4 linked regions of the Arabidopsis thaliana genome follow. The protein of the gene in region 3 interacts with the protein of the main gene of each other region in a pairwise test. Each region holds a gene or a part of one and is shown on either strand. Other genes may lie near its edges.

Region 1 (8,186 bases), 7.7 Mb from region 3:
TCCGGGTAACATTCGTCTCATGAAATGCGTAAGATTTTTGTATTAATGGATCTTCTTTGACCCAATTAGGGTTTATAAGATTCTCTATTAAATTTCTTCAAAGTTTCCATCTTTGATCATATTGTTATATTTAGGGAAATTGCAAGGAAGTAGCAGATGAGTACATCGAGTGTGAACGCATGGTCTGTTTTAATCACTTTCTTTCCCTTTTTGGGTGTTTCCCTATTTCTTTCCAATTTTGGTTTTTGGTTCTTTAATTGTTTTCTTTGGCAGATTATTTTCATCGATTTAATCCTTCACAGACCAAAGGTATATAGACACGTCCTCTACAATGCAATTAATCCAGCAACTGTCAATATTCAGGTAAAAAACTATTTCAATTCAAGTTCTTGATTTCAAGCATTGCTAGTTCCTGTCTGATTCTAGCTCTCTTATCTTGAATTGATATTACAAACTTGTGGAAATATCTGGCTTTGAAAATCTTTTTCCATATATAGAAGTATCTTAGACCTCAAGCAACAAACTAATTTCCAAGTTTGGGGATATTGAGTAGTCTCTGATCCAATAAGAATTGTTGGGTTCTTTTTTTTTTTTTGTGTGTGTGTGTGCAGCATCTGTTGTGGAAGTTGGTCTTCGCCTATCTTCTTCTAGACTGTTGTATCCTTTTGTTTTATAATCTTTTACTATCAAAGTGTAGCTAGCAGATGTGTAGTTGGTGAGATTCATCGGCAAACTTATTTGAAAAGCCCTGAACTCATCATAGATAGAAGCTTGCTACTGAGAAAAAGTGATGAAGAATCGAGCTTTTCTGATAGCCCTGTTCTTCTATCTATAAAGGTTAGATCGTTTCTTTTTAATGGACTTAATTAGATTTTTTTTCCTTTAAGGTTTAAATGATTTAAGTCATTGAGATTGTTTAGAAAGGGTAATAATTTCGCATTTGAAACAGGTTCTGATTGGTGTCTTATCTGCAAACGCTGCATTTATCATCTCTTTTGCCATTGCGACTAAGGGTTTGCTAAATGAAGTTTCCAGGTGATTACTGATTCTTCTTCTTCTTAGTTCTTATTATGAGTTTTTCATCAAAGATCTCAGACTTCTGTCACCTGAAGATTGTTTATGTATAATTTTTTTTAAAAACTTTGCAGAAGAAGAGAGATTATGTTGGGGATATTCATCTCTAGTTACTTCAAGATATTTCTGCTTGCGATGTTGGTATGTTGTAGCTTTACCTCTCACTTAATTCCTAATATTGAAGTTCCAAACTTCTTAAGCATTCCATAAATCATGCACTAAAGTTTCTTGTATTGATTAAACATGGTGTTATGTCTCTTTGCTCAAAAATAGAGAATCTTTGTTATTACAGGTATGGGAATTCCCAATGTCAGTGATTTTTTTTGTCGATATACTTCTCTTAACATCAAACTCCATGGCTCTTAAAGGTCAGACCTTCAAAATGTTCTCAATGCAAATTGTTTTTTGTTGTTGTTATTTTGGAATCTCACAATGCAAGTTTGTCTTTAAACCAGTGATGACTGAATCAACAATGACCAGATGCATAGCCGTATGCTTAATCGCGCACTTGATTAGATTCTTGGTGGGTCAGATTTTTGAGCCGACAATATTTTTGATACAAATTGGATCTCTGTTGCAATATATGTCTTATTTTTTCAGAATCGTATGATCCCATCAGCTTCCAGTATAGTCTTTTGGTTTGAAGATAAGAGAAACCTTTACATTATTATACCATACTGTATTTTATGACTAAGCCAAATATTATCGCCACCAAAAATTGAATTAGACCTTACTAAAATATCAAAAGTTAATTGTTGGTCTGTTACTCTGTGCGGGCGGATATAACTCAACCACCTACAATTATTTGCCCTACAAAAACCTTGTTCCTCACGATATCGTCGCTCCATCTTTCTTGGAATGCTGGGCATATGTGGTGGTACCCTCCTTGGAATGGTGGGCATATGTGGAACCCTCCTATGAATGTTGGAGATATGTGGGACTCTCCTATGAATGTGGGGCATCAACACATTGTTGCAACACCAAGTGAATGTCATAGGAAAGACGAGGAGACGGTTGAAGCCGAAGTTGAGGCTCCCCTTGATTCTTATCCGGAGAATGCTACTACCATGGCGAGAAAGCAACCAAAGGCAAGTTAAATATCTGAAAATGTTGAGAATTCTGATGATAACTAAAGCATTGAAACGAATATTGGGTTAACTTAATAATACTTATGCTTATTTTCAAGTCTCGTTTTGTTTTAATTGACTACACTATACTTCTTAGATCCGTTATGTATATATAATTTGACCTCTTGAACCAGAATGATCCAGCCAATGATGGAGATGAACAATAAGAAGCCAATGATCATGTTCTTGAGATAGTTCCACTGTGAATTCCTTTGACTCATCTCCTCTAAAACAATCCAGTTATGATGCTTAGTTGGAGCTTTCTTCTTCAGCCATTTTCCATTCCCACCCGTTTTTCTATAGACATATCACCTGCAACCCCAAGTCCATCATAATCCACAGTTGAAGATGTATTGTTTGAGATTTTGTATCGAAGTCATGTTACGCAGTGACATTGTTAACACCTTTTCATTTCCTTGCAAATGCAACTTTGGTTGCTAAATGAATCTTTGAGCCAACACCCTTTACTCATATTTGGGTCTCATGTAAAATCCCTTTCTTATACAAGACTATATATCACTTTATTTATATAAACTACACCACAAAACGATGCACTAATTATTATTACATATACTTTTTTCCAATTCATATATATGATTTTCTGCATTTTTCTTCTCTCTTCTTTCCCCCTTTTTCTCTTCTTTACATACTAATAAAATATAACTTCAAACTTTTCCGGAGCGAGAAAACAGAGCAAAGAAAAAAAAACAAAAAAAAACACACATTCTAAGAAATACAAATTTTGAGCAAGAATCCGATTTGACCTCTTAACCAACAAGAATGATCCAACTAATGACGGAGATGAACAACAAGACACCAATGATCATGTTCTTGAGATAGTTCCACTGTGCATTCTCCAAAACAATCCAGCTCTGCTTCACCGTGTTGGTGGATGGAGGTATCTTGATCGAGTCTTCAGCCATTTTCCACTCGCATTCGCTTTTCTGCGAACTTATCACCTGAAAGCAGACCCATAGCTCATAATTTAGAGGTCATTTGACTAAATCTTTTTGATGAAATGTTGATTCAGATTTCGTATCAAAGTCATGTTTCTCAGTGAGAGTGTTAAACCTTTTCTTTGCTCTGCTGCTTTGGTTGCTCTTGTGCCTTATAATTGTGCAAAGGCTCAATAATGTTCAATGATGGAATATCATCTATACGAGTATGGCCCGGTTCATCTGAACTACCAACACTATCAGTGGAGCTCGAAGTGTCTTCGAAAATCTGTTAAAAGCCAAAATTCAGCGTGTGAGATATAGAAGCGATATAGGTTGTGATTATATATGAGTAAAAAAAGCTTACCATTGATCCAGTTTCAGTATCACTGCTATCATCAGGCAAAACCCCAGACACAGGTTTTTTGGGCCGGTGATCACTGTAATGCTGTTGCATAGATGTCCTTTCATCTACCAAAAACTCAAAATTTTCTTCAATCACATGCTTCCAAATCATCTCCGACTCATTTTCATAAGGTGCCAAGTAAGGAACTTGCTGTTGCAGGTCGATATAGTCACTCAGCCACTGACCGCCGTGATTTGCAAAATCATACTCAAGGAGAGGGTTGAATGATCCTTGAAGTGGTTGCTGCTGCATAATGTTAGAGTTTTCATTAAACTGCTGGCCATGATTTGCTGAATCATACTCAGAGTAAGTGTTGTAAGATCCTGAATTTCGTTGACGTGATTGGTTGACCTGAAACGAATCAACAGTTTAGGAAAACATCAAATCAGTAGACACAAGCTCTTTTTTGATCTGCCTACTCAAAGCTAAGTGTATATGGAGAAAGACTCACCACAGAACCTGCACTACTAGTCATATTGGGGACAAAAGCGGGAGTGGGATCTATTGCATAAGCAGATAGAATGTCCGCATCATCACCCTTGTACTCAAGTCTGCAGATGACATATGTCCTCTGTAAAATTTCCGGAGGTAAGCACATAAGTTCATCAGTATAAAACATTGGTGAGAGTAAGCTAAGCCTAAAATAGCTGCTGAACCTAAATAGAGTTACATTACATAGTTTCTAATTTGCATAACTCAAATTCTAACTATGAATCAGCAGAAACCACATATATATATATCCACATATATATATATATATATATATGAATAGAAGAAAACCTGATGTTCTGGTAAGAGGTCGTAGTGGAACTCGTGGATAACCCAATCAGATTTGGTTTTGTCAGGGTATCTTCCATCGAGGAACACCAAAACCCTTTTATGACCAATCTTACCACGAAAGCCCTCACTACAAAATCCCCACTGGTCCTTGACCTCAACAGATTCTCCGGTAAGCTTCCATTTACCAGAAACCGTTGTCCTGCTCTGTCGATTCCCTTTGTTGTTTTCTCTACGAGAGAAGAAGTACCACATAGCATCTCTCGATTTGTACTTTGACTGGACTGTTCAAAACAAAAAAAAACCCTAAAATCAAAAACCTAAATCGATTACTTGCAAATGAAATTCAGAAAATTCGGAACTTACAGCGCAAGTTCCAAGGATCGTAGCTACAGATGTTGACCTCGCTGATGGCTACTTCAACGTCGCGGCTAGTGTTTCCTTCGATTTTGTTACGGAGATAGTGACCAACGAGCTCCTCGTCGTTCGGACGGAACCCAAACCCAACTTGATCCTCCATTTTCACTAAACCGTCCGATTTCAATGGTTTCCGGGTAAAGAGCTTCGCCGTCGATCTCTCTCGCTCTCTGTAATCTGTATTTCTCCGATTATGTATTTGTTTTCTCTGGTTTGGTATATCTAATAATTTGGAGGGAGGAAGACAGTGAAGTCAGCGTTTAAATAAGACAATTTATTCCTTTTATTTTTATTTTCTTAATTAAATTAATATGGATCTCCGGTTTAATTGGTATGGTTTTACCGGTCCTAACAATTTTAAAGATTATTAAAACAATTGATGGTATGAAATTTCATGTAGTAAACCGAGTAGTATTAACTATTAAGATTTATTAGTCTTAATCATATTATTTTTTACTTATGATGGTTTAGAATTTTAATCAATGTAAGTAAACAGAGTTCAGATTTAAACCAATTTAACAATTAAAAAAGATTTAATAATAAATTTTATAAAATCGGTTTGGGTGAACCGTGGATTGAATATCATCCTCTGTAGAAATTTGTATTCCCCTTTTAGTATTATAATAGAAGAACATATAAAATTTAAATAAATATAAATTAAGCCTTATAAAGGAAGGCTGGGAAGCTGCTGGGCGGTAATAATGGGTCCCTCCCAAAGCAAAACAAAGGAGAGCAACTCGAATCTGTCTTCTAGATTATGTGTGTGAACACGCCAAATATTTTCATCTCATTCGTTTTTTAACATTAATAAGAGTGTGCTTATTTTTAATCTTGAATCCTATCGATATGTTGTTAAATCCATCTAGAAGGTTGACTTTTTGAATCGCTGGCTAATTGTTAGCTTTTAATTTTGACCATGTTGTTTTGCTTGTCGCAAATGGTTCGTGGGGTTGCATTTTATCATGGAACAATGTATGTGTCTTACGAACTCATAACGATTGAGCCGTTTTCCAAACCGAACAAAATAATAACGTAACATCTTTAAAAGCATCCACGCCAGTAGATAACATACACATAGTAGGAAGTAGGTGATTAGAAAACTCTAATATCCCTAGAAAATTAGTACTAGTGTGGGATGCATGCAATTATCTAGTGGCTCTCATTAGTCACTAACGTGTGGTAGGTTCAAGTCTTCCTAAGTGAAGTTTTAATATTGGCAGAAATAGCAATATCTTTTAACAAACAAATAAAACCAGCATTATATCTCTGCCTACCTTTTCTTTCTACTTTTTTCTTTTGTCTTTTGGGGGTTTAGATAATAGATTGTTTCTACTTTTTGGATTTATCATGGTCGTTGGTATGCTTGTGAGTTGTGACTAGAAACGTTATGACATGCCTTCATAACAAGCCAAAATTTAAGGTAACGAAAGCGATATGTTGATGTATGGATTTCTTATTTTTCGCCACAACTAAAAAACATGGCTTTGGTGAAGAGAGGAAAAAATAATATAGGTTTAAAGATAGGATATATAGCTGTAGATATAGCTAAGATGATGAAAAAGGAACGACATTCTAAAAACAAAATCTACAAGGAGATTTGATTTCGTATCTCCAAATGACTTAAACAACATTCATGACCAAAATTTTCTTTTACTTTTGAATTTATGCGTATTATAAATTTAGAAGATAGCTCTTACCAAAACATAAAAGAGAACAAGTGGTTTGAAATGTTGACCAATATATGGGACTTTCATTGCAAGAAAGATGATAGTGAAAAAAATTAAAATAAAAATATAATAGGAGTCAAACATAATGAGGGGAATAATACTTTTGTTGTCGCTGGTTTGATATCACATGAAACATTTTACTATGAATACATGGTTAATATTTTTTATGCTGAGTAAATAAATATAAGTATCGAAATAGCATATATGTATATGGGGTTTTTGGAAGATTTTAGTGTCCAGACACTGAATTATTCTTTTAACAAAGTGAGTGACCAAAACTTAGAATTAGATTAAAACCCTGTAAAATATTGTTTTAAAAACTGTCTTTGATCCCTTCTTGTCATTGTTGGCATTCTCGTACCTATTTCCAAATTCATTCATGCATTTGGACAAATGATGATGTATGATATGGTCCATATCATATGGAGATAGATGTGGATGGAAGAACACATTATAAAAACAAAATCTTAAAGGAGATTTGATTTCGTATCTCCAAATGACGGAACCTTGGCCACATTCAGGACCAAAACTTCATTCACATCTTCCATATACAGTAATTAGAAGATTACCCAAACAAAAGTAAGAACATGACACGTGCTTTCACATGTTGACCAATTGGGGACTTCCCTTGTAAGAAAAGATTTTACTCATATACAATGAGAAGTCAAACTTCATTCACATCTTCCATAACATAACGACACTGACTCTTTACCTAATTTTTCTATGATCATTGAATCAAAGGTTCCTCTAATTCAACATCTCATTTATATAATCTAGATAGATAGAAAAAAAGTAAGTGAGAAGAAATCTCGGGATCTTTGGTGTTTCTCTGACCATTTTATAAGAATGTATTACTTATAAATTTATGAAAGAAAAATCAAGCAGATGTGATTCATGGAGGAATCACAGAACTATCATTAATAATTACAACTTTTTTCAGTATGTCTCAAAAAGAAAAAGAAAAATAAAGAGAGTAAAAAACTCTTAACCATAAACTTATTTATTTGATTAAATTATATAAAATTGACTTCTCAATTTGGGGGGTGGGGGGGGGGGGGGGAGGTGGGGGGTGTTGCCACTTTCTGCTTCACAAGTTCTTAAGTCATAAGTGGAAAACTTCTAATAATTTATAACCAATTGTTGACATATACTTTTGCTTTTAGAAAGCATATGATTGTGGGAATAACGGGTATATGAGTTGATTTACAGATTTTATGTGTAAACGTGTGTCGATCATAATTTTATTTTAAATTATGAGTTGTATATGAGTTGACTTACAGATTACCTAATATCTACGACAAAGGTAAAATGGATAATTAATCAGGCGGAAGAACTTTGCAGTACCGAGAAGTCTTGAATCATCCAAATCACTCTAAAAAAAGAGGAATTTTGCAAAGAGAAACTACTTCAAAGAAGCAAAACAAACATCTAAAAATACTTTTTTGAGTGCCAAAATGTGTGCTACAAGGATAGAAATAGAGCATCGTCGAGGCGATAGCTTTTTTGATATGATGTGTCTTCAAACCACCAATCCTTTTGGCTAAGGATAAAATCATCAAGCAGAAGAACTTCAGAATAAATGCTAAAGGACCATCCCATATCATTGAGAGATGAGATGACAAGCGTAACAACAACGAAGAAAGACTTCATCCCTACAACTAAATAATTTTCCCACAAAAGATAAATTGATAGAACAAACATTTCCACAAAGGAGTAAGAATGA
Region 2 (7,966 bases), on a different chromosome or scaffold from region 3:
CGTTTTTGAATCGCAATTTCCGCACACCAAATCTTTGTTTCGTCATCAACTAACACATACTCCTCCCAAGAAATCGCCAATTTTCCACAATGATCCGCCGATTTAAAATTTCTATAATAATTAGTAAAAGTAGGCAGTCCTTCCAAACCCTTCAAAGCTGCCCATTCTCTTTTCTTGAGGTCATACCAACGTACATCCCCAAGACTGCAACGGTAGAACACGTTCTCTATCACACAACAAGATGATGGATCCAGACTCCATCCATGATTCAGGCATATGTCTGCCCCTCTCCATTTACCTTTATGCATCTTGTAAGTGACATCTTTTTCCCTAGACCCTACATAGACGGTTCTTTGATAACTTATGCTTAAGTACTCAGAGCCTTTGCATACCTCCTCGCTAGGGATCTGTAAAAACTCCCAAGTTTGAGTCTTCGTATCAAAAATCTCCATCCAATTCATTGAATTGAGATTTTCGCAGCCTCCCGTAACATATATTCTCCCATCGAGGGTACAAGCAGATGGAAACACACGGGCCACCCGCATGCTTGGAGCTTCACGCCATGTGTGAGAACGAGAGTCCATAACCATAACGCTAGACAAAGCGTTATAAGTCTTTGATCCAGTTGCATTTATCGAAGCGTTTTTATTCTCTGATCCACCGCCAATGGCATATATCTCATGACCGACCACTACAAAACCCGGCAGGGCTGCGGAAGTAAAATTGGGAGATGAAATCGGGACCAAAACTTTTTTGGAGCTATTTGGTCCCTGGTAGATAATGAACCAATGTAGTTGTTCAGAATCGGTATGGAGTCGTACGCACACGTAAAGACAACTCTCCGTTCCGCCTAAGAGGATTCGGGTTTGGTAAAGCTCCTTTGAAGCAAGAAGAAAGCGAAATTTTTTGGAGACTAATGAGAGAGTTGGATAATGTAATCTTGAGACGCGAGCTAAGCAGTTAAATACCAAATCATCAGGAAGCATTAGAAATCTTTTAATCGAGGGTTCTTCTCCATATTCCATGGTTGTTGATCACTTTTTTTCTCTTACGGTTGTTGATAGAGAGCGGAAGCTAAATATCGGACGAGAACACAAGATCTCTAGGAGAACTCGGATTTACAAACGGATCTTGCTTAGAACGTCAAAACTTGATGAAGAAGCAATAGAGATAAAGTCGAGATCGGTAGTGATATCGACTTGGTTTTGCAAGCCCTTAGGGTTGAGAGTCCTCCTCTCTAGGCTTTATAGAAAGCTCTCTTAAAACTCTTTATTCAATAATCCAAAACTAATCTATTCTACAACGTAAGGATTCTTTAAATAAGAATCAGAAACAAAGACCCTAATTCTAAAAAGAAGTTAAAAGCCAAACACGTAAAGCCCACATCTTTAATAAAGTCCATAAACTACTAAATCATGAATGAGAAACAATAAAGAGGCTTGGTCACGACGAGGCCCATCAAAGGCGTGAACAAAGCAAAGATGCGCTGCATCAGTTGCTTATTAAGTAAGAACTTGCTTTTTTTAACAAAACAAAAAAAAGTAAGAAATTGTTTTTTGCATAAGCTTCTTTTTGTCTCGACTATTCTTGTCTATATTGTTTATATATAGATTCCTAATCTCATTGGGAGTTTTTCAACGTGTTTGGAAGTATAGTAAGTTTCTAATTTTCTATAACAAAACGTATATTCTCTTCACTTGAAGAATTTACTGATATTCAAAAAAAGAACTAGAAGAATTTACTTTTTTTTTTTATCATTCCTTTTTACTAAATTGTTTTGTTTTGTTCTTTGTGTGCTCTTTCTTCTGGTACAGATATATATGCGGACCTACGTACAAGAAAGGACCCTAAATTTCTAAAATTTTACTTACTGTTATGAGAAAACAATACATTTGGCATATCAATTTTTTTTGTTACAAGCTGTCGCACTGCTACCTGCTACCCTACCAATCTGGGACGCGTATAAGATTGAGAACAAAAACCATATTTTAGCATACATAGCATTTGGTTTGACTCCGTTGGTCTCGTGTAAATTTTCCGTCTTTGTTAACCGTACTGATGTAACTAAGGATTAATATAAAAGACTTGTGTCAACAGTTTCCTTTGCCTGGTAAAGACTCAAAAAGTTGATCGAAGCTAAAGAACCACCATTTTACTCAAATATTACATGGAATACTAAACATAGAATTGAATTAAATCTAAGAGTGTAAGACATGTCCAAATGCACAGTTTTCCCCAAAACTCCTTACATTATATCCTCCTAAAATCTGGAGAGAGGAAACAAAGAATGTTGAAGAATGCCCTGTTTCTTTTAGTAAAAGTGTTTTTTGGCTTCATTTCTTCATTTCTAAACTGAGAGAGTTTCCCAGAGAGCTTTTTCAAATTTCAATGGCGGTTGGCGTCGCACGGCTTGCCATATAAGTTATGTAGATTGTCCATAGATACGAAAACGAGTTGCTCACAAGTGGCTGCAGACAAAAAGAAACCAGACTTCAGTTGATAACCAAAACTCACGATAAGACAAAATGAATGCAGCAAATATATGATCTGTCTTGAACAAAAGGTTAACCAAAGTGAAGCTAAGTTGGAAATAAAGTGGTAGGTATCAATCATACATACCTGTAAATAAACAGGGCAGAACTTGAAAGTAATAAAATCACACAAAGGCCAATACATGACACCATTAAGCATTGTGGGAAGTAGGTCCCTTTTCAATCTAGCAACTATCTCTGAACCATTTTCACCTGAAAAAATAATTGAAAATCAGACTTTGATGTCATCAAGAATAGCTTAGGATCAAATTCTAACAACAATTCTCCTCTCTTCAAACGCCATTTAGAGAAAGAATGTAACATCAAACAACCTGCTCTATAACAACCCTTAAGATTGAAGGTCAACAGGATCTAGAGTTTCAGAAAAATCATACTTTTATATGTTGCTCAAAGAAGAATATATAGACTATAAGAAAGGAACCAGTTGATTATTTTTCATGTACAGCTGAAAGCTTACCCTGTAGGGCTGCATTCAGTGAGAAGAAAACAACATTCATGGCAGGCCCATAGACTGTCTGTCCCATGGCCATTTTCTTAAACGTTGTGATCAAATCTCGTTTTGGGAAGAGACTTGACATGAGATTGAACCAATAGTGAAGTGTAGGACCCAAGATTAATAACCCATATCCTCCCATCCTTGCTGTTCTTACCAAGTCATAAGAATCCACTGAAGCTTGTGGAATTGTCTGTTGAAAGATCAAACAAGTCACACTTTTGTCAACAACAATACAAGAACAAAGAAACGTAAGCAAATATAACAACTCAATTCACATAAAACCCGCTACTACATCCACATTACTAAGAATCGATCATTACTTCTTAATCTAGAAGTAATTCTTGTCCTATCTCAAATCTCTAAAGCACAATGGAGATACAGTGACTTCTACTATTACCATTTGTTAGAAAACACAATGGAATCTTAGGACTGAATCAACAAGAACATAATCACAGAATATCTAAAATCTGATTTGTAGGCTTACAAAACAAAAATGAGATAGATTTTTGAAATTACCTGCGAAGACAAATCGGCTGCTATGTAAATAAGCGAGGACGTGACGGATTTGGTAAGAACCGGCCGAGATTTCACCATTCCCAAATACCATCCGATGAATCCTGCTGTAGAGACCGTCGAAGAAGACGAAGACGAAGACGAACAGAAACCAGAGACACCTGTTTCCTTTGCTTTCCCGAGAAACTGAGGCGTACGATAAAAAGGCCTCGACTGCAATCGCTGGATGTTTCCTCCTATCGGTAAAGGGTCGAGCTTTCCAAAAGGATTCGTCATCGTTGCTCGCTGTAATCGAAAGATCCGAGCGGCGTCGGAAGCAGCGTTTCTAAACAATGCGCCGGTCATTGTCGTGTGATGGCTCCGAGAGTTTTGGGGGTTCAGGGAAGGGTTTTATATATAACGGCGGTGGAGAAGAAGAAACAGAGCTCTGTTTTTTTAAAAAGTTTAAATGCCAATAAATAATGAAACACACAATTTGTATATTTCGCGAGTATAAAGGTTTTTCTACTCGCGTCTCGTACCATTGCAATCGTTCTTCATAAATTAGTTTTGTTCTTAATAAATTAATTAATCATGCCTTTTCTAGATACAGAATTGTCGAGATCTTTCCTAATAACCGAAGTTTTTGTGAAAGCTATAGTGTTACTTAGCACATTGATTATATATAAGCCAACAAATTGATTATTATTTATTATTAGCTAATCACTCAATAAACTCAAAAGCCAAGCCAAATTATTGGAGAAAATAACCTTTCCAATTTCTATGTTAGGCGGAGGAAAGAGTGCCTGAAGGCTGAAGAGCGCGTGACCGTCAAAGGTGGACGGTTCAAAAACCAAACATCCCCAAACTGTTTCTGTTCTGTAGTGTTCTAGGGTTGTTTACACGTCCTGTTCACATTGGTTAGTGTCGACGTCATCACTTCTGACACGTAAAACTTAATTCAGTGACGCTAACCTTTAGTAGAAGCCACGTGTTGCGTTCGTGTCCCAAGTTCCGACTTTTAGCCACTTTTTATGAACTCTTTTATTTTTATATATTTAGTCAAAAAGAACGTAGATCATTGGAAGAGAAGATTCTCTTATTTTCTGTCGGCAATTTTTCGAAGATTCTAAACCAAACTAAACGTAGATGATGTCACACACACAAAAAAAAACAAAAATTATTATCGGTATCACTCATGACTCATGTGTCCACAAAAACTCGAATAAAAAGATGGTCCCTGGTGTGTAAGCTCAGATACATTTTTTATATATATAACATGGACAAAATAATTTTCCATTTAATAGATACAAATACAATCATACAACACATTTTGTTAAGTTATAAGGGAAAAAATTAGTACACATTGCAAATTAACAAGAGACTTGACGGACTCAAACGAGCAGTAAATACTCAATACCAAGTAATCAGAACACCCAAATCGATCCACACTTGTCATCACTTCTGTGTTAATCTTATAAGTTCTTATATTTCTTTTACTGAAATATCAAACAACAAGAAACTTCTATTGTTCAAATGATATTTCGAACCAAGTTTTCATTATCAGGTTTTAATTTTTGTATCATTCGCATTATAAGAAAGCTAAATAGTTACACTGTTTCAGCGAAGAACTGTACACGAGGGATCCAGCAGCAGATTTTTAGTCAAAAGATAGAAGCTGTGAGACTGAGATAGATATATGGAAAAAAACCTAACTTATTCTTCCTGGTCTTGGTCTCTGATCCATTTGGTTGCCACCCATTTCTCTCCTTTGGTCACCGGGCAGCTCCCGTGAAGCGAAGTCTGCAGAAGCATTGGAACCACAGCAAAGAGCTCCTATTAGCATGAACTAATCCAAGGAATAGGAGTCAAGAGAAGAAATGAAATGTGTTCAAACTTTGTTTACCTGATCAATCGTTCCATTTGGAAACACGGAATAAAAAAGAAGACCATCTCCTTTCCGAGGCTTTACTTTCAACCCAATACATTGCTTGTAATCGTATCCGATGCCCATATTAGAACCGTTCTGTTAAATAGAAAGCGTTTAAATGGAATCAAAACTAACGAAAGGGTCTGTATAATAAGTAAGCAAATAATATATTATAAACTGACCTCAAATGGGAACATGGTTTCACCGCCTTCTTCAACATCAGATAAGTACAACAGGAAGGAGGCAATCTGCGTAAATTCAAATGAGGTCTCGGGTTCTAAAGAAAGCTATAAATATGACAGATTTAAGGATTTTACCCTTTGGCTTGATTGTGGTCCATATTCTGTTGGGTTGAAAACATCATAGTGGGAATCATACTTTTGGCCAAGTTCATACCGTAAAATATTGAATGACTGCCAAAAACATCAAATCTCGTACAATTAAAGGGGTGATAAGCACTAAACCAAAGGCCATCAAGCCTACGTTTGCCACTTTCAACATGCCTTAGTTTTACGATTCACATAGATTTGGGAAGTAGAGAATCATACCTCTCCATGGGACCTTGGGATCATCGTAGCTCTTGCGATTTTCCTTTCAACAAAATCCAGAGCACCAGTACTCTCTTCTGAAGCACTGATAAAAGTTCCTGAGCTGTATAACAACAACACACCAGGCAAAAACACTGAGGCTACTGATGAATGTTCGAAACATGAAACTAGAAAGAAAGAAAGACCTTGTTCTAGTGCCCTTAGTGTTCTCAGCAGTTTCTCCTTTCCGGAGAGCCAAAGCAGAAGGTTTCAGATTAACCTTTGCTCTCTCAATAATAGCTTGGCATTGTTCTGCAGTTGCAAAATTCGGAAAATATATAGCCCTAGGTCTCCAACTAAGTACCTGCCAATTTTAAACCAAATAATCCATAAAGATGAAGTACTAAATTTCACTAGTTGACTAATTGCTAAAAAACACAATACTCTCACTCACACTCATGGTCACCACACATGAACAAAAAAACAAAGTTCAATTAGATAATCAAATGCACAATCTTGCCCTAACTAATCGATTTCACCTAATTTGCCAATCCAAACATCTTAAAAGTCAAAAAATTAGCAACAAAATCAGACCTGAAAAGGAATCGATCCAATAGATTCTTCTCCAGTAACACCATGAGGCATCGAGCTAGCTTCTTCTTCCCCATTCTCAACCATATCCAACATTCTCAACCTGGGTTTAACACGAGGCACATTCTGATCCCAAACATAGAACCCTCGATTAGTCACAAAACCAAGCTAAAGACTCCAATCACATCTAAAGAGTACAGAGTAAAAGATCAGAGAGTTTCCACACCTGAGAAAGTAGAGTGGAGCCATAGAAACCGAAGAGGAAACAGAGAGAACAGAAGACGATAACTGTGGCTAACCCTAGCTTCTTCCTCCTGTAGCTCTTCAATCTGCTCTTCATCGAGCCTTCTTCCTTCCGATCAGATTAAGTTTCCGATGGAAATCTTCGCCGGCGTAAACGATCAGATAAGTTTCCGATGAAAATCTTCGCCGGCGTAACGAACCTCAATATCGGGACGCCTTTCGTCGATCCAATGAAGCACCACAAATTTCTATTTACTTTAAAATATATTGTTTTATAGTTTAATGATCAGATCTCGTTGACCAGTTTGTCATTTTCTTCACTGGTCAACAAATACAAAAAAATGCGCCGAATTTATCCTTTTTTTTGGTTGAAGTTTGGTTGCGTAGAGTGGTTTAAGTTTTGGTTCGATGGAACTTGAACGTTTTTGTGATTTGAATTAGGTGGGCTTCTTTTGAGTTGTTTTGCTTCATTCAGGCTGTCGATAATGACTTGGAATCGATCTTAGAATGTAAGGTGGATATGTAGTCCAACATTGAATTGTGTTTATGGTTAAAAAGTAAAGAATGATTATTTATTAATTATATACAGTCAAATTAGAGAGTCTTAAGCCGAGATCAATACATTATCCAACGAAATTTCAAATGAGTTTATTTTCTTAACTAATAGTCTATATTCTTGCAACTTCTTTTTGATAACCAAATAAAATGTGTAACCATTCTACAAATGATTTTCATATAGAGATTTGAGTTTAGAAAAGAATAAGCAAGAAGAAGATTCAAGTAGCCTTTGTGTCGAGAAGAAGGTTCAAGGAGCTCTCTTTGTGGGCTATAGAACTGTTGTTTAAGAAAGAAGGTGACTCATTTAATGTTTGGTTCTTGGGGTTCACAGAGCATTGTTCACTGAAGAGAGATGTGATACTAGAGAGATTCTTAGTGAGCATTGACAGAAATAATAGTAGTACTAATTAAGTTTTTTTTTGTTTGATGAATCTTGTATGCATCGGTATAATATGAGTGGATATGCAAATGTTAAAAAAAATAAAATGAATGGATCTATATATGTTGAAAATCACCCTATGATCCATAACAACGATAAATACGCATCCATAATGTTATAAATGTAAAGGTAAACATC
Region 3 (7,741 bases):
TGATTCATGGGCATCATCAGCATTTATTTCTGAGTTAGATCAAATCAAGAATGAAAAAGGCGGCAATAGAAGTCTTCAGGGCACTACTTCATCAACTGAAATTGATCTCATGGATGATTTCCTTGAGATGGAACGTCTTGTGGCTCTTCCTACTGAGACACAGGCTAAAAACTCCAAGGATGGATATGAATTGAGCTTAATGGAGAAGTTGGAGAAGATACAAGCAGAAAAGGATGATCTTGAAAGAGAAGTTAAATGTTGTAGAGAAGCGGAAAAGAGATTGAGCTTAGAGATTGAAGCAGTTGTTGGTGACAAAATGGAGTTGGAAGATATGTTAAAGAGGGTGGAAGCTGAGAAAGCTGAGCTAAAGACATCTTTTGACGTGCTCAAAGATAAATATCAAGAGTCAAGAGTTTGTTTTCAAGAAGTTGACACAAAGTTGGAGAAGCTACAAGCAGAAAAGGATGAGCTTGACAGTGAAGTTATTTGTTGTAAAGAAGCAGAGAAGAGATTCAGCTTAGAACTCGAAGCTGTAGTTGGTGACAAAATTGAGATGGAAGATGAGTTGGAGAAGATGGAAGCTGAGAAAGCTGAGCTAAAGATATCTTTTGACGTAATTAAAGATCAATATCAAGAATCTAGAGTTTGTTTTCAAGAAGTTGAGATGAAGTTGGAAGCGATGAAAAGGGAGCTTAAACTAGCTAATGAATCGAAAACACAAGCCGAATCTCGGGTGACCAGAATGGAAGCAGAGGTGAGAAAGGAGAGGATTGTCTCTGATGGGCTAAAGGAAAAGTGTGAGACATTTGAAGAAGAGCTTAGAAGAGAGATAGAAGAGAAGACAATGATCAAGAGAGAAAAAGTGGAACCAAAGATCAAACAGGTATAGCTTTTTATTTTTCTGATCACCAATTAGTCTTTTTTTCTTTTTCTTAATCCTTGTTTCACTAAAAGCTGATTCTATTGCAGGAAGACATAGCAACAGCTGCAGGAAAATTTGCAGATTGTCAGAAAACAATAGCATCACTTGGGAAACAGCTACAATCTCTTGCAACACTAGAAGAATTCTTGATCGATACAGCTAGCATTCCAGGTTCTGCAAGGTCAGTTCACAACAAGGAAGCTTTGTTAGGAAAAGATCCTCATGAGTGCATCAAAACAATCAATGGAAGATCACTTGAGTTTCTTGCAATCCAGAACAGCAATAACAAGACCTCACCTCCTTGTTCATCTTCTTCGGACTCAACAACAGTGTCATTAATTATGTCATCAAACCGAGGGAGTTCTGAGAAGAATCGCAACGGATTTGCCACGGTTTTCACTCGAAGTAGAAACTCAGTAAATTTGGGGATTTAGGAGAAGCAATAGGTTCGTTCTTGGAGTATAGCTAGAATCAATCTGTTGTTAAGCTGGATTTCTTACCATAATTTTCAGATTCTGACTTGTTAGTAGCAAAAAGATCACCCTTGTTTCTTTTGCTACATAGTGTAATCTTCTTAACGTTTATGTCTTGTGAGATTCATCTTTGTTATTTCACTGTCACCAGTTTGATGGTCTCATATGATGCATTGTCACCAAGTAAAATATTGATTTTTGTTTTGTTTGGTTAGATAAAGACAAAGAAAACTGCAATCTGTGGTGCTGCTGAACTGCTGATGTTGAATCTATTCATTGGTCGTGTCTAAAATACAATATTTTGGATTAGATTCTAAACTGGTACATGCAACAGAACAAGCACCTGAGGTTCTATGGTGTAGTGGTTAGCACTCTGGACTTTGAATCCAGCGACCTGGGTTCGACTCCCGGTAGGACCTCTCATGCTCTTGCATTTTTTTTTCTTCCAAACATTGGTGGAAACTGAACCGGACCAAACTTCATCAACTCAACACTAAACAAACTTTCCTAATAGATTGAAAAGATTATACCAAAATTTAACTGAATAAACCAAAGTTCATTAAGATTAACTTTTATATAATGATTATGATATATAAATCACAACCAAAGATCAAACCAAAATTCTAATTTGGTTCCGTTTCCCCAAACACAAGAAGAAAAAAAGTCTGTTGACTGTAATCATCAAGAAATAACATTTACATGTAGTTTTCCTATAGAGAGATACATACAAATCTGAAAGCTATTAGAACTTAGTAGCAAAGCCTCAGATATAAACAAGAGATGAGTGGGTAGTATTCATACAACAACAAACCATAGATTCGGTAATGGATTGCCTCTAAATTAGCTATTATTCTCCATGGTCGTGAAGGTTGCCGTTCTCTTGGTTTCTTCTGTGGCTTCTCTCTCTTCTGAAAGCATGAAACAGATCCAACCCGAGGCCAACATTAAGAATGTTCATTCCTGCCATACCAGACAGAGCGAGTGGTAACTCCACGCCTTTCCCAAACTTGTGTGCGTCTTTGATCAGCTTGATAGTGATGAGAATGTGAGGAATGCATCTCGCAAACACAAAGGCTGTCCAGTTTAATACCCACTCCAGTTTCACCAATGCTGTGTTGCTGTCTCGGATTCCTGCCATTCTCCTTAGCTTCCTCACGTGTAGAAAGATCGAATGCATCTGTTTACACATCCGAATAACAGAGGTGTCACTTTTGTTCGAACAAGTAGATGTTGTAGAGTTGAGTCTATATCTAACTAGATTGTTATATATGAAACTAGTCTAGTTTAACTAGAGAATGTTAGCATAGATTCGGTAAAGAACAGAGAAAAGCCAGGGCAAGTTTTCAGGAAGAAAAAAGTGGAACGTACCTCACAGATGAGAGTAAGAATAAGGTAGTTGATGGTTACATTTCGGTATAGTGCCAATGTGAAGCAAACAAGGAGGACTAGATGGTGAACAAGAATAGAAGGTATTAAGCCGCTGTATAACCGGTACTGAAGCATATCCCACTGGTCATATGCAAAGTAGCCGCATGAGAAACACAAAGCTGGATATGCCCATTTCCAAGTCCCACCAACCAACTCAGAATGATCAAACATCTCGTCTAAACCTTTGGCTAAGCATTGATTGAGAAGTATGAAAACCACTGTAGTAACACAAGAGCAGTGTTGAAGATGAAAAATCATAATCAGTAAGGCTTAACGAAGAAAGAACTGCATTATACTCAAGCTATGGCAATCAATCATAAGACTAATCCAATCGGAAATAAGAATCACATTAAGCAATGAAACCGTGAAAACACAGCACCAAAGGAAAATTGACTAATACCAACGACCAATGTGCACACCTATGATAAAATTTCCCCACTAACAGAGCACAATCCTATAGTAAGAACTCAAATATAAGAGAAGAGAGAAAGGGACCTGATGCGGAGGTGATGATTGAGTGCAAAAGCGAGACAGAGGTATTAACAAATATAGGGTCACGAGAAATCCATGAACGAACAACCCAATTCATCAATTGAAAGAAGCATCCACCGCAAATCACCCAGAGAAGCTCCGTCCGGAGATTGAAAGCAATCTCAAACACGACGGAGACAAGCCAAAGAAGCAGCGTCGCTAAGAAAAACTGCCCAGCCCCATTCTTCTTCCCTCCTGAACTCCCAATCCCGTTCCTCGCCATCGAAACCTCACTGTCTCTCTCGGAGATTGCTTGAGAATCCGGCAAAGTTAACCCTAAATTGGATTCTTAGCTCAAACTTCGATATCCATTTCCAATTTTGGCGGAAGAGACGATACAAATGCCTTCACGTTATAAGCTTTACTTTGGGACGCAACGGACACGTGTCGGTCGATACTTCATCCTCCTGATGCTGACTCATCTAATTAAAACAAAAAACGTACGATTTCAACATCGACAAAATTATCATATTTTGTGCCGACATTCGATGTCGACAGTCATTAGGCCTAGTCACAGCCCATTTGAAAGGCTCGGCCCATTTGAGAGGCTCGGTACACCAAACTAGAGGCAAATCCACTCAATACTATACATTAGACAGAGTGATACAACAAAATCCAGAGTTGTTGTTAGTTACACACACAGAAGAGAACAAGAAGACTATAAACAAAACACCATCAAGCTGAAATGTTCAAAGTATGTGTGTAAGTGTATATTAGACCGGTTTCCACACAGACAAAACCTCTTGAAACATCTCCAGCATCAGTTCTCGATCAGCTTGCCTGAAGAAACTGCTGATTTCTTCTCTGACATCATAAATCTTTCCGAAATCAAACAAATACATCAAACACCCTTTCTTCAGTTTCTCCAGCTGATAAAGCCAAGCTTCTTGTAGCCTCTCGAGCACATTACTCGAGTTTATATCTTCCATTAGGCTCTCCTCGCAGGCTGCTTTCAAATCCGTTATGTCGTACTTGTTTGCAGCGCCGAGGAGGGCGAGCCTGTGTTTCCAGAACTCTTCTTGGGTTATGTTTCCGTAGAGGTAACTTAGTAGAGCCATGCAAGATTCTCTCGACATGTCGTCTATGTGGATTGTGGATGATTCCTTTTCCATGAGGTCGTGGTGGAACATGCTTTTGAAAACAGTTGAGCTAGCTGAGAGGATAGCTTTGTGAGCAGAGAGTGTTCCATCGGCTGTGTGGATGATTACATCGGTTAGTATGCTTTCCTCTAGCATCCGGGATAAGCATTTGAGAGTGGTTTGAGTAGAGATTGATTGCATTGTTGCATCGGTTGGCCAAACAGGAGAAGCTTCACCACCCTGGATTATGATTTGATTTGATCAACCATGGAAGTACAAATGTTACAAAGAGAAGAAATTGTGAGAGTATAAATAGAATCATTAAGCTTACATTCACAGGGCAGATTTTGAGATCAAGAAACTCAACATCAATGGTGAATCGACCGTGGAAACTGGAGTCAACATGCCACACACAATCATCAGTTGTACGCAGCAGCTTCTCATAAACTGCACCAAATAAACAGAGTATCTCAGCTTAAACAAACCTAATTCAGTTGTAACCATCCCATAAGGTACTACTAATCATCAGCCAATCATTAACATCTAAATTAATATCTTTCAGATTCCACATAATTGAATATAGTTCCCACATAAAAGGTAATTCCCTTTCCTGAAATACCTAATTCGAGCTCGACAATAGAATTCAAATTCCAAATCCAGAAAAGTCAATTCAAAGACAAGACATACCAGGAGAGATGTAGAATCTACGATTGGGGCCAACGTTGGAGACACGAAGAACAAATTTGGCAACAGGAGGTTGCTCTTTAGATACTCGAGAAAGTTCTGGGAATAGCCTCACTGATAGATAGCGATTCCTCTCTATAGACAGATGCCTTCATCATATCCCAAAACAAACAAAAATCAAAATTCCGAAGAAAATTTACCAAAATAAACCAAAAATGAAAAGCTTACCAATTCCAAATTCCGACTTTGAAAGGATCGGACTTTTTGAAAGAACAAGGACCAAAATTTTCAATTCTCCATTGAGCTAACCTCGAGATTGTCTCTACCTTCGTGTCCCCCATCCACTTTCTCTCTGAAGTTTTGACTTCCTTTTCTCTCTGAACTCTTTACTTCACGCCAAATAACACGACGAAGCAAGCAAAACACTCTGCCGCCTCCATCGCCTGCCACGTGTACGACGATTATACGTTTTTATCCATTAAACCGGTTTACTAACGATATATTAAAATCAATTCTCGGTTTGAAATGAAAGAGAGTGGACTTAGACTTAGAGAGATAACAGATAAAATGGCGACGGGGACGGCGACGGAGAAACCGAAGATCGTGTGGAACGAAGGAAGACATAGATTCGAGACTGATGATCACGAAGCCTTCATAGAGTACAAGATGAAGAATGACGGTAAAGTCATGGATCTGGTTCGAACCTTCGTACCGCCGTCAAAAGCAGGACTTGGTTTAGCTTCGCATCTATGCGTCGCCGCTTTCGAACACGCCTCTGAACACTCTTTCTCCATCATCCCCACTTGCTCCTACGTTTCCGTATACATCTCTTCTTTCCTCAAAAAATTGAGATGAATCAGATTCTTATGAAAATATGTCGTGTTTTGCAGGAAACGTTTCTTCATCGAAACCCAACGTGGCAGCGTCTGGTTCACTCAGAGGATGATTCCAAGAACCTCAAGTCTAGCATCTGATCAAGTCCTGCTTTAAAGCCTTTTGGTGTATAATAAAAACTTGAAAACATTATCTTACAATAGTAAAGCTTGTTTCAAGTAATCTCTGTAAACAAACAAAAATCCCAAAATGTATGTTTTTCACAATTCGACAGCAACAAACAAACACTAATGTTTGTCGTAACAATAAATATAACGTGAAAACATTATTCTATGATACATTTTTGTACAGAAACTTCGATGTGTCTCTTTAGCCAGTGACATAGTAATCCATTTTCTCCGGTGGCAAGTTCAGAACCGATTCGTCAACCTAATAACATCAAGGAAGATATTCAGATCAAATCAATGTAACTAAGATTATAGGTGGGAAGAGTATACAATAATTTATAGTTTACTTACCTCTTCGAAAGGAACGAAGACGAATGCAGTCATACCCCTCTTGTGTGAGACGGCAGGTATATCCGGGTTGTGAGTTTCATCGTCTTCCCAACCTTCAACTAACCCAAGAATGTCTTCTTCTGTGCTGCTTATTTCCTCATCGTTCACACCACTTGTCACAAGTGACAGCAAATCCATCCTGTTATTCGCTCCAATAGCTGTTCCTCTTAACCTAACCACACCCGAAAACATATCCACACCAAGAAGATCAAAATGACTATCAGCTACTAAAAATTTCAACCCCATCACATTCACCGGATCAGATAAGTCTTAGATGAATGTACTAGACACGGTACTTTAAAAGATAAGTAACAGGCCTTCTTCCCAATGCCAGACCAAGGTTCTAAATGCTATTACTAAAAAGAAGTCTTCTCTATCCACATATTTTGAGGGATTGAAGTACCTTAAACGAATCCTTAAGACAGTAGGGCGTGTCCCTGGGTACAGAACAGCTGCTTCGATCTGCAAAAAGAACATGTTTTTCAGTAATCAGGATTATGAAGATGTAATGTTGTTGATTACCAGCCAAAAGGCAGTAGAGGGAGCTAACCTTATCATCCGACATTGACAGTGTATAAGTGCCTTTGTAAAGATTTTCAGATTTAGAAGCCTTAAAGTTCATGTACTTGGCAACATCCTTCAATTTCTGTGAAGAGTTCTGAAGGAATAACAACAAATACGGATGGATCATTATCAGACTAGATCCCACCAGTAGCTCAACGTTTATACCTACTTATATCGAAGAGTGCAAACCTTGTAAAGAAATCTGCCAGAAGGGTAGAACCTTATGTAGCGGTAGTAACAAACCTGCAACAAATTTTCCAAAAGAAGACGCAGATTATTATATGTGTCTGTATTGGACAGATGAAGAAGAAAAGAAAGAAAAAGACAAAGACTTTACAATGTGAACTGGATTTGTAATCTTCCACTCAGCAATTCCAGCTCGAATGTAAGTATTCCTACTCACATAAAGACCTGAGAAGAAGATACATAGTTACTTTAATCAATAAAGATATAACAAGACACGATGTTAGTCAGAGCATACAAAAGAAAACAATCACTTGGCGCTAGAATGTCGTGAAGCAAGAGGATGAAGAAAGAAAGATTACCATCAGTACGAACTCTGGATCTAAGAAGCCACATTTTCCTCCATGATCCATCATATTTAGACTGCAAGATCTTATAGTTTTCGATAACCCCAGCAGTCTGCCAAGCTTTCAAGCAGGCATTACG
Region 4 (8,023 bases), 6.7 Mb from region 3:
TGTGGTGGTAAGGCATCTTATCCTTGACGTTAGGTTTCAAAAGTGATGATCCCTTTAGTTTCGTTGATAATGGATAAGATCAAAATATCCATTTTTACGACCTCCAAAGCACACGTAAGAAGAACCTTATCTTTTATTTTTATTTAAGTTTTATACAAAAAAGGTCAAAAAATCAGACCGAATTTTATCAAAATAAATAACGGTCAGGATGAGCAAATGACTGCCGACAAGGACAATCGAAGTAATTAGTTTGGTCTGAAGATCTTTTATCAGAATTAATCTATATTATGTCATATAAAATCAACCAACCATAAACCACTCACTTAGCATATTAAAAGAACCGACAAAATATTTCATAATTCATATAATACGAGGGAGACAAGAGAGTTGATTTTTCAAAGTACAAAAGTCACAAAGTCCACTACCAGTTCATAATTTCCACACCATCATCATCATGTTACCAAACAGTGATGCATCATATAGAACATACGTTCATTATCATTCATTTTCTATTTATGTGTTTTGGCTTCATTGATTATCATTTTCATTTCGGTCATAAATTCAGGTTAATGTACAAAACATAAAAATCGAAATCAAACTAAGAAAATAACAAAAGAAAAAAAAATCTATTGGAACAAGAGATTGTAGGCAGGAAGATCTTGAATCCGATGAATATCATCCAAAGAAAGCTCTCTCTCCAGCTGATTCCGAGTTGCTTGTAATACTTCCTGATAAACACACACAGATATATACAATTATTAAGAACTAATTCTCAAAAAAAAAAAAAAATGAAAAGAGAAAGTTGATAGATTGAGTGAGAAGAGATACATTGAATTCCATGTAAGAAGCGTGCATTGCAAGCCATTGAGCATCCATCATCGCGAAAGCTATACAGTATAGTACATCGAATGCCCTCTCGTCTTCTGTTAATCATTGGAATATGATTCTTGATTATTTAGCGATCGTCATACTACACTACTAACTTTTAGAAAGAAGGTTTTATTCAGTTTAAAAGAACATATTCCTATTGTTTACCTTCTAAGAGTTTGAGGAAATTCATTCCTGGAAGACATTTTGGCTTTGCTGCACAAAAAACAAAACATGAATTTAAAGCCTTTTAGAATCGAAATCGTATGTGAAAATAACAAGTATGACCTGAATAAAATGGTGACAGTTTAAGAAACTTACGATTATTTTGTAAATCGAGCATTTGGATCAACATGAAGGAGATGTTGATTCCGGCCACTGCAAAAGGGTACTCCCACTTTGCCCGGTCGCCTCTTTGTTTTAACAATAGCCTCCGGAAACAAACCTTCACAATTTTTATTTGTATAAACACATTATTTTGTGGAGCAAAGAAGTTCCCAAACCATGATTATTAAAAAAAGTTTAAGTATATATGAACATGTATTTACGAGTAATTTACCGGATAAGTTCTTGCAGAAAATAGTAAATTTTCTAGAGCGATAAATCCGCAACCCCTACAAAACAAATGTTTAACAAAACAGGCGTCAACACTAAGTATTTTTCCTTAAGATCTTTTTTGCAATAAGTTAAGTATAGATCAAATCTTACCTGAAATCGGTAGATGGATTGGGACCTTGCCATCCCATTTCTTTCCATTGTTCTGTTACTAAACCCGTGAGATGAACATTCGGAAACGCGACGTTCCACAATGCTTTAAGTGATTCCTGCCATTAATCACGCAAATATATTTCACAGAATTCTTATAGCTAAAACAATATATCTGCATGTTGTTTGCTCACTGCGTTAAACATCTTACTGATAAAGTGAATTCACCTACCTGATGATCAGGACGTGTCTCGTCGAAAGGTACAACCATACGATCTTGCAGCCTTTGAAGTCTTTCCTCCTATGTATGATTGATTTACACAGATCCAAAAGTGTTACAAACTATTTATAATGTCTTGATTTCATTTTATGAAGATATATGAAACTTGTGATTATGCTAACCTGAAGAGGAGACAAAGTGTAGTCGACTGCCTTGTCTTGACGTCTATTGGAGCGTGTGAAGAGCCCTCCTATCCATGATCTTGTTCCAACCATACCCGTAGCTGTAACCACTGGTTCACTAATAGAAAATTATATTCATATATGAGATAATAGATCTAAATTATGTATCTAATAAACTAATCACATGCATATTTCTATGGTGTGTCATTTATACCCTATGATATATCTAGCAATATATACTCACTAAAACAAATATTTAGCCAAATGAGCTATTACGTGAGCGGAACTACTTGACCGCTGCCATCGCGGCTCTTTGTTGCCTTTTTCTCGCCTTTCCCACGCTTCATCCTCCTCTACCTGCAAACGTTTTCAGACATATGTTTGCGTATAACATTAGCTGCAGAACATAAAAAAAAAAAAAGATCAACTCTGAAGATCAGAAAGTTTGAGTGAGCTTAATTCACTTACAAGTTACAACCAAAACGACACTCAATTACGGTACATTGAAGATTAAAGAAACGGGTGGAATACACAAGAACAATGTATATGCAAGATTGCAGTGGTGTCGTTGATTACTCTCAATTTGATGATAAGATTCAAATTTGATATGAGTTTGGAGAAGAAGAAGATGACGAAGAGATCATTACTTGGCGATGAGACGAACAAGCAGGAAAGTATTGCCTACGCTTCCTGAACTTCATGAGATGGACACAAATGTTCAAAGAATAGAAGATAACTAATATTGATATCTTTTAAACTAAGAGAACAAAGATGTCAAAACCGACATAAATGCATGGAAAGAAAGAATTTAGGTATAATAATCCTACATCCAAGTTATCTAGTCATCAAAACAGAGATTAGTTAATGATTTTGCAAAAGCTAAGACTTCTCTGTAGAGAATTGGACAGAAAGAAAGAGGAGGAAGATTTTTATACAGAGCTAAGTTGATCACAGATAAGTTTTAGTGTTTTATTTGGTTGCGTACAGGTCAGAGCTTATTAATTTTTAAAAATAGAAAAAGCATTGCGTGACTATTTTAACACGTTTAACTAAACTAGACAGAATTGTGGGTTGTTCTGTATAAATTTTGTATTTGTATTTTTATTTACTCCTTTGAGTTAATTTAGAGAATGACAAGAAGATGATAGAATCAAAATGACTAAATATAAATGAGCTAAAGTTCTAATTCGATTTCTAAATATTCAAAAGTTCCATCATCATTTCCATTTTCACTTAGTCAAATTTTGGTATAATTGGGCTCAAAAAGGTTTCTCTAAAAGTTGTAGCTAACATAATAGCGCAATTAAAGGATGTTTTCTTTTCATAACTTTTATGTAAAGTTTAAAACTTTACAATGAAATTACCCTTGAAAATATAATTAGCAAACAATGATGATCAAATCAAATTTCACAAGCAAAAATCGTTATGATTGATTAAAAAGATGAGGGGGGAAAAAGTTACCTGTTATAGGCATATGAACAAGACAATGGAGGAGGAGGAGGAGATGGTCTAGAAACCGTGACGACGGAGGAGGAAAAGAAAAGAGATGAAGTAGAAGAAGAAAATAAAATAAAATAGAGGCAAAAATGGAAATTTTCATTGGAATTTTGCAACTTTTAGAAATTGTAGAAGATGAAGAGAGCTGTGTGATCCAAAAGTGTTTTTTTTTCTCTCTCTTTTTTCGTTTTTGTTTTCTTTCTCCCACCTCTCCATTGACCGTTAAGTTGCCGCCTTCTTCTCTCTTCCACCAAATTGTTCTTGACACATTTGGACGGTCCAGATTCATTACAGTTCACCTATCAACGGTGATCAGATCAGTTGAGAGTTAACAAAACAATATTAAAGCCCATCTCAAGGCCCAATAAACGAGAGATGAAGAATCTGAAACTAGTGATCTGATTGGTTGAGGGAAAAAGCTGTAGCCTGGAAGACACGTGTCACTAACCCAAAACTACCTTATCTTCTGTCGCTCCTCAATTCGGGGAAAATCGAAGACACTGTGACACTCTAGCACCTTCAGTTCCGTACAACAATGGCTCTCCAAGCTGCCTATTCTCTTCTTCCTTCTACCATTTCAATCCAAAAAGAGGTATGTTTTCACCATTAGTAATGATTTCCATCTTGTTATGATTTGTTTTCGATAAAATGAAGAATTTACCTCAATGCAATGGTGATTTTGCAGGGCAAATTCAATGCTTCTCTAAAGGAGACGACTTTTACTGGTTCTTCATTTTCAAACCATCTTAGAGCTGAAAAGATATCCACCCTGTTGACCATCAAGGTAAAGTCAATCACCCTATACGATGTGAAATTCTCAAAAAAAGATATCGAAAACGTCCTGAGGTTTATACTCTGTTTCGTTGCAGGAACAGAGAAGACAGAAACCGCGATTTTCCACCGGTATTCGTGCACAGACAGTTACAGCCACGCCGCCGGCAAACGAAGCATCGCCGGAGCAAAAGAAGACTGAGAGAAAAGGCACTGCAGTGATCACTGGAGCTTCGTCTGGTTTAGGTTTAGCTACGGCCAAAGCTTTAGCAGACACAGGGAAATGGCATGTGATCATGGCTTGCAGGAACTTTCTCAAGGCCGAGAAGGCAGCGAGATCTGTTGGAATGTCCAAGGAAGATTACACAGTGATGCATCTTGATCTTGCTTCGCTTGAAAGCGTGAAGCAATTCGTTGAAAATTTCCGGAGAACAGAACAACCACTCGATGTTCTTGTCTGCAATGCCGCGGTTTACCAACCAACTGCTAAAGAGCCTTCTTTTACAGCTGAAGGCTTTGAGATAAGCGTTGGAACCAACCATCTCGGTCACTTTCTTCTCTCAAGATTGCTTCTTGATGACCTGAAAAAATCTGATTATCCATCAAAACGTATGATCATCGTAGGATCTATAACAGGTAAATAACACAGACAACTTGTCCATTTCCACCAAGATAGTTCCTAGTATCAAACAATGAATGTTCTTTTCTATGTTCTTGCAGGAAACACAAATACTTTGGCTGGGAATGTACCGCCAAAGGCAAACCTTGGAGACCTAAGAGGCTTAGCGTCAGGATTGAATGGGCAAAACAGTTCAATGATAGATGGAGGAGAGTTTGATGGAGCAAAGGCTTACAAAGACAGCAAAGTATGCAATATGCTGACAATGCAGGAGCTTCACAGACGTTACCACGAGGAAACAGGAGTCACGTTTGCTTCTCTTTACCCTGGTTGCATCGCTACAACAGGGTTGTTCAGAGAACACATACCGCTGTTTCGGCTTCTTTTTCCGCCTTTTCAAAAGTATATCACCAAAGGTTACGTATCTGAAGAGGAAGCTGGCAAAAGACTAGCACAGGTCAGTTTGCATTGCAAATCCTTTCTAATATATGTATAACAGATTATTGATTGATACTGAGGATGTGGTTTTGTTTTAGGTTGTGAGTGACCCTAGTCTTGGGAAGTCAGGAGTGTATTGGAGTTGGAACAATAACTCGTCTTCGTTTGAGAATCAGCTTTCTAAAGAAGCAAGTGATGCGGAGAAGGCAAAGAAACTGTGGGAGGTTAGCGAGAAGCTTGTTGGTTTGGCATGAACTCAAGATTTTTGATATGCAAATTCATATAGATTACTATGTTTTGTGACATGTACAATAAGTATGATCAATCAGACTAATCATTCGAATGCATTTCAATAGAGTTAATCATCGAATTCGAATCTGAAGACACTTACAATTAGACTGATGATTCGTAGATTGCTCCATAGTTGAGATGGGGACATGAATCGTTACTGTTGTTGAGACACGACCAACGAACTGCATCGTAATCCCGAGTAAAATTTAACCGATAAGAGTCTTCGGTCTTAGAGAATCTAACATCTTTCTTCTCTCTTCGAGAATTACCCGATGATCGGAATTACAAAACGGTTAACACCGGCGAGAATTGGTGGGATATCATGTCGTGGATCTTTTCTAGTGTGCCTTTTCTCTAACACGTCGTCGTTTTGCCTCATTCTTTAACAGATGTCGTTTAAAATTAATTTAAAGTACAAAAGAATGCGGTTTGGTGGATTATGTCGTGGATCTTTTCATAATGGGCCTTTCTTACGACCTAATTTTTTAACACGATGTCGTTTAAATCGATTAAAAGGTTTTAGAAAAATGCGGTGAGCGTGGATCGAACACGCGACCTTCAGATCTTCAGTCTGACGCTCTCCCAACTGAGCTATCCCCGCTTGGGATTATTTGATAAAATATTACATTATAATACTTACAAAAACGTTTCAAAACACTATCAAATGCCATTTCTCATTTTGGTCGACCATCGATGATAAGATTAAAAATCTTCTATTATGAAATCTTACACCACTTCCTAACATGAAAACGATTAAAAATCTCATTCTATATTGTGAAGAAGTTGATAAGTTGATGGTCCCAAGATGATTTCATCTTGCATCGTAAAATATCAAAAACTCGCTAGACATATGTAATATGTTGATGTAGAGAAGTAATCAATGAATGTGTACAAGGCATATCAAGCCCAAGCCAAGATATGGGAATACATATATAACCCCAAATCCAATGATTCAATCCTTTTGGGCTAAATAGAGTCATCAAAATCTAGGTACATTCTGTAAGCATCTCTATCAGCCGAGTAGTAGCTTTTCACTAGACAGTCTACTTGGAACCCAAGCTTTTTGTACAGATTCACCGCAGAAGTTCTCGTGGGGTCGACATGAAGTGAAACCCGTTGCACCTTTCTGCTTCTGCACTTGTCGATAGCCGCTCTCAACAATGCTTCTCCATGACCTTGTCTTCTGCAATTCTCCTTCACTACATGATTCCAAAACAACAGAAGAAAGTAAACTTGGGATACATTCTTCCTAATGTTTTTGCTCTTAACTTGCCTAATAAGAAAAATTCCATACGTGTTCTTGACTTATGAGCTATCTCCATTAATCTTTAAGCATGCAAAACCAAAGCTAGAACAAGGGCTTTGTCTAGTCAGAATTTCTATTGAAAGCTCTCGAATTTACCAGAATCATTGGTCCTTGACTATATAATAATCTACAGGTTAATTTATCAAATGGTTGAAAGATTTTTCAGTAGAAGTTTGGCAGAATAATTCCACTTCTTCTCTAACGAAATTATATTTTCTGAATTTTATCACTGAGTAATTTCATCGAACAGTTGGCGGACGTTTGTCTATACCTGCGAGCTTGGTGATTGAAGCGGAAAGCGAAGATGGCCAAGAATACATGGCATAGCCTACTGTGTCTCCTTCAGCATCCACGTATAGCAAACCGGCGTTTTTCTTACGCAGCTCTGCATCGAAAGTTTGAGCGAGAGATTCGTGTTTAGGGAACGTTTTCTTCTCCAGCTTCACGATATCTTCCACAACTTTGGCCCAACTGGTCGACCCTCTAATCAGCTCTACCACAACTCCTTTGTCCATTGTACAAAAGATTCGATTTTGTGGAATCTCTCGTTGGTTTCGCAGCCGGTGAGAGCGAGTGAGCCAAGGAAATTGTGATTTGATTTTGATGAAGGTGCGTAGCGACGGCGGGGACGACTTTTAGAAACTATTTGAAATTGTGATTTGACCCACAAATTTAACTTTTGTGACAATTTAGTCCCCAGAAACAGAGGAACTGTATCAGAGACCACACCAAATTAAAAGACAACATATTTGATCAATCACTGTGAACGAACTTATGAAAGATTGCAGATAGAAACAATCAAGAGCTTGAATGTGTAATGGAAAATGTTCACAAACCTACATACACATCACTTATGTGCTTTGGAGCTAAAGACATGGAAGGAATGCCATGGAAGGAGCATCAATACAAGACAAACTCCAAATGCAAATGCAACAACCATAGACCAAAAAGCAAACATGATAAGTACCATGGCTCGTTTCATAGCTTGCTGTATCAGAGGAATATCACCCAGATGTTGTGGCCAAATAAGATTCATTGTAGCTATGACAGACAAGAGCACTGGAATGCTATTGCAAACCAGAAAAACTATGAACACTGCTTTCTTGACCAAACCTGTGATGCCTAAA

What was found.
Region 1: the proteins of AT1G21790 (region 3) and NAC001 interact in a two-hybrid assay, tested with the Arabidopsis thaliana proteins (one large-scale study listed by BioGRID).
Region 2: the proteins of AT1G21790 (region 3) and AT4G33905 interact in a two-hybrid assay, tested with the Arabidopsis thaliana proteins (one large-scale study listed by BioGRID).
Region 4: the proteins of AT1G21790 (region 3) and POR C interact in a two-hybrid assay, tested with the Arabidopsis thaliana proteins (one large-scale study listed by BioGRID).

The regions. Positions count from the first base shown.
Region 1 is NC_003070.9:413-8,598, reverse strand, and holds NAC001 (NAC domain containing protein 1), read right to left. Parts: upstream 4,969-8,186; 5' UTR 4,840-4,968; coding exon 4,686-4,839; intron 4,604-4,685; coding exon 4,323-4,603; intron 4,114-4,322; coding exon 3,994-4,113; intron 3,894-3,993; coding exon 3,504-3,893; intron 3,426-3,503; coding exon 3,273-3,425; intron 3,161-3,272; coding exon 2,969-3,160; 3' UTR 2,700-2,968; downstream 1-2,699. Other genes in the region: ARV1 family protein, read left to right, coding at 1-28, 135-182, 274-363, 612-657, 764-837, 950-1,035, 1,149-1,215, 1,367-1,442 and 1 more.
Region 2 is NC_003075.7:16,251,687-16,259,652, forward strand, and holds AT4G33905 (Peroxisomal membrane 22 kDa (Mpv17/PMP22) family protein), read right to left. Parts: upstream 4,075-7,966; 5' UTR 3,907-4,074; coding exon 3,565-3,906; intron 3,239-3,564; coding exon 3,010-3,238; intron 2,745-3,009; coding exon 2,620-2,744; intron 2,469-2,619; coding exon 2,379-2,468; 3' UTR 2,066-2,378; downstream 1-2,065. Other genes in the region: AT4G33900 (Galactose oxidase/kelch repeat superfamily protein), read right to left, coding at 1-1,025; AT4G33910 (2-oxoglutarate (2OG) and Fe(II)-dependent oxygenase superfamily protein), read right to left, coding at 5,257-5,343, 5,447-5,566, 5,653-5,718, 5,788-5,883, 6,019-6,121, 6,204-6,361, 6,592-6,714, 6,815-6,928.
Region 3 is NC_003070.9:7,650,193-7,657,933, reverse strand, and holds AT1G21790 (TRAM, LAG1 and CLN8 (TLC) lipid-sensing domain containing protein), read right to left. Parts: upstream 3,847-7,741; 5' UTR 3,578-3,846; coding exon 3,319-3,577; intron 3,042-3,318; coding exon 2,764-3,041; intron 2,573-2,763; coding exon 2,243-2,572; 3' UTR 1,953-2,242; downstream 1-1,952. Other genes in the region: AT1G21810 (filament-like protein (DUF869)), read left to right, coding at 1-883, 970-1,356; AT1G21780 (BTB/POZ domain-containing protein), read right to left, coding at 4,068-4,673, 4,765-4,880, 5,121-5,266, 5,346-5,458; AT1G21770 (Acyl-CoA N-acyltransferases (NAT) superfamily protein), read left to right, coding at 5,685-5,936, 6,008-6,091; FBP7 (F-box protein 7), read right to left, coding at 6,321-6,380, 6,470-6,680, 6,912-6,970, 7,059-7,166, 7,262-7,315, 7,410-7,483, 7,618-7,741.
Region 4 is NC_003070.9:903,693-911,715, forward strand, and holds POR C (protochlorophyllide oxidoreductase C), read left to right. Parts: upstream 1-3,830; 5' UTR 3,831-4,006; coding exon 4,007-4,063; intron 4,064-4,156; coding exon 4,157-4,255; intron 4,256-4,340; coding exon 4,341-4,878; intron 4,879-4,962; coding exon 4,963-5,318; intron 5,319-5,397; coding exon 5,398-5,553; 3' UTR 5,554-5,958; downstream 5,959-8,023. Other genes in the region: AT1G03620 (ELMO/CED-12 family protein), read right to left, coding at 627-728, 829-923, 1,036-1,083, 1,189-1,312, 1,427-1,481, 1,576-1,691, 1,805-1,873, 1,975-2,092 and 2 more; AT1G03650 (Acyl-CoA N-acyltransferases (NAT) superfamily protein), read right to left, coding at 6,557-6,789, 7,168-7,411; AT1G03660 (Ankyrin-repeat containing protein), read right to left, coding at 7,744-8,023.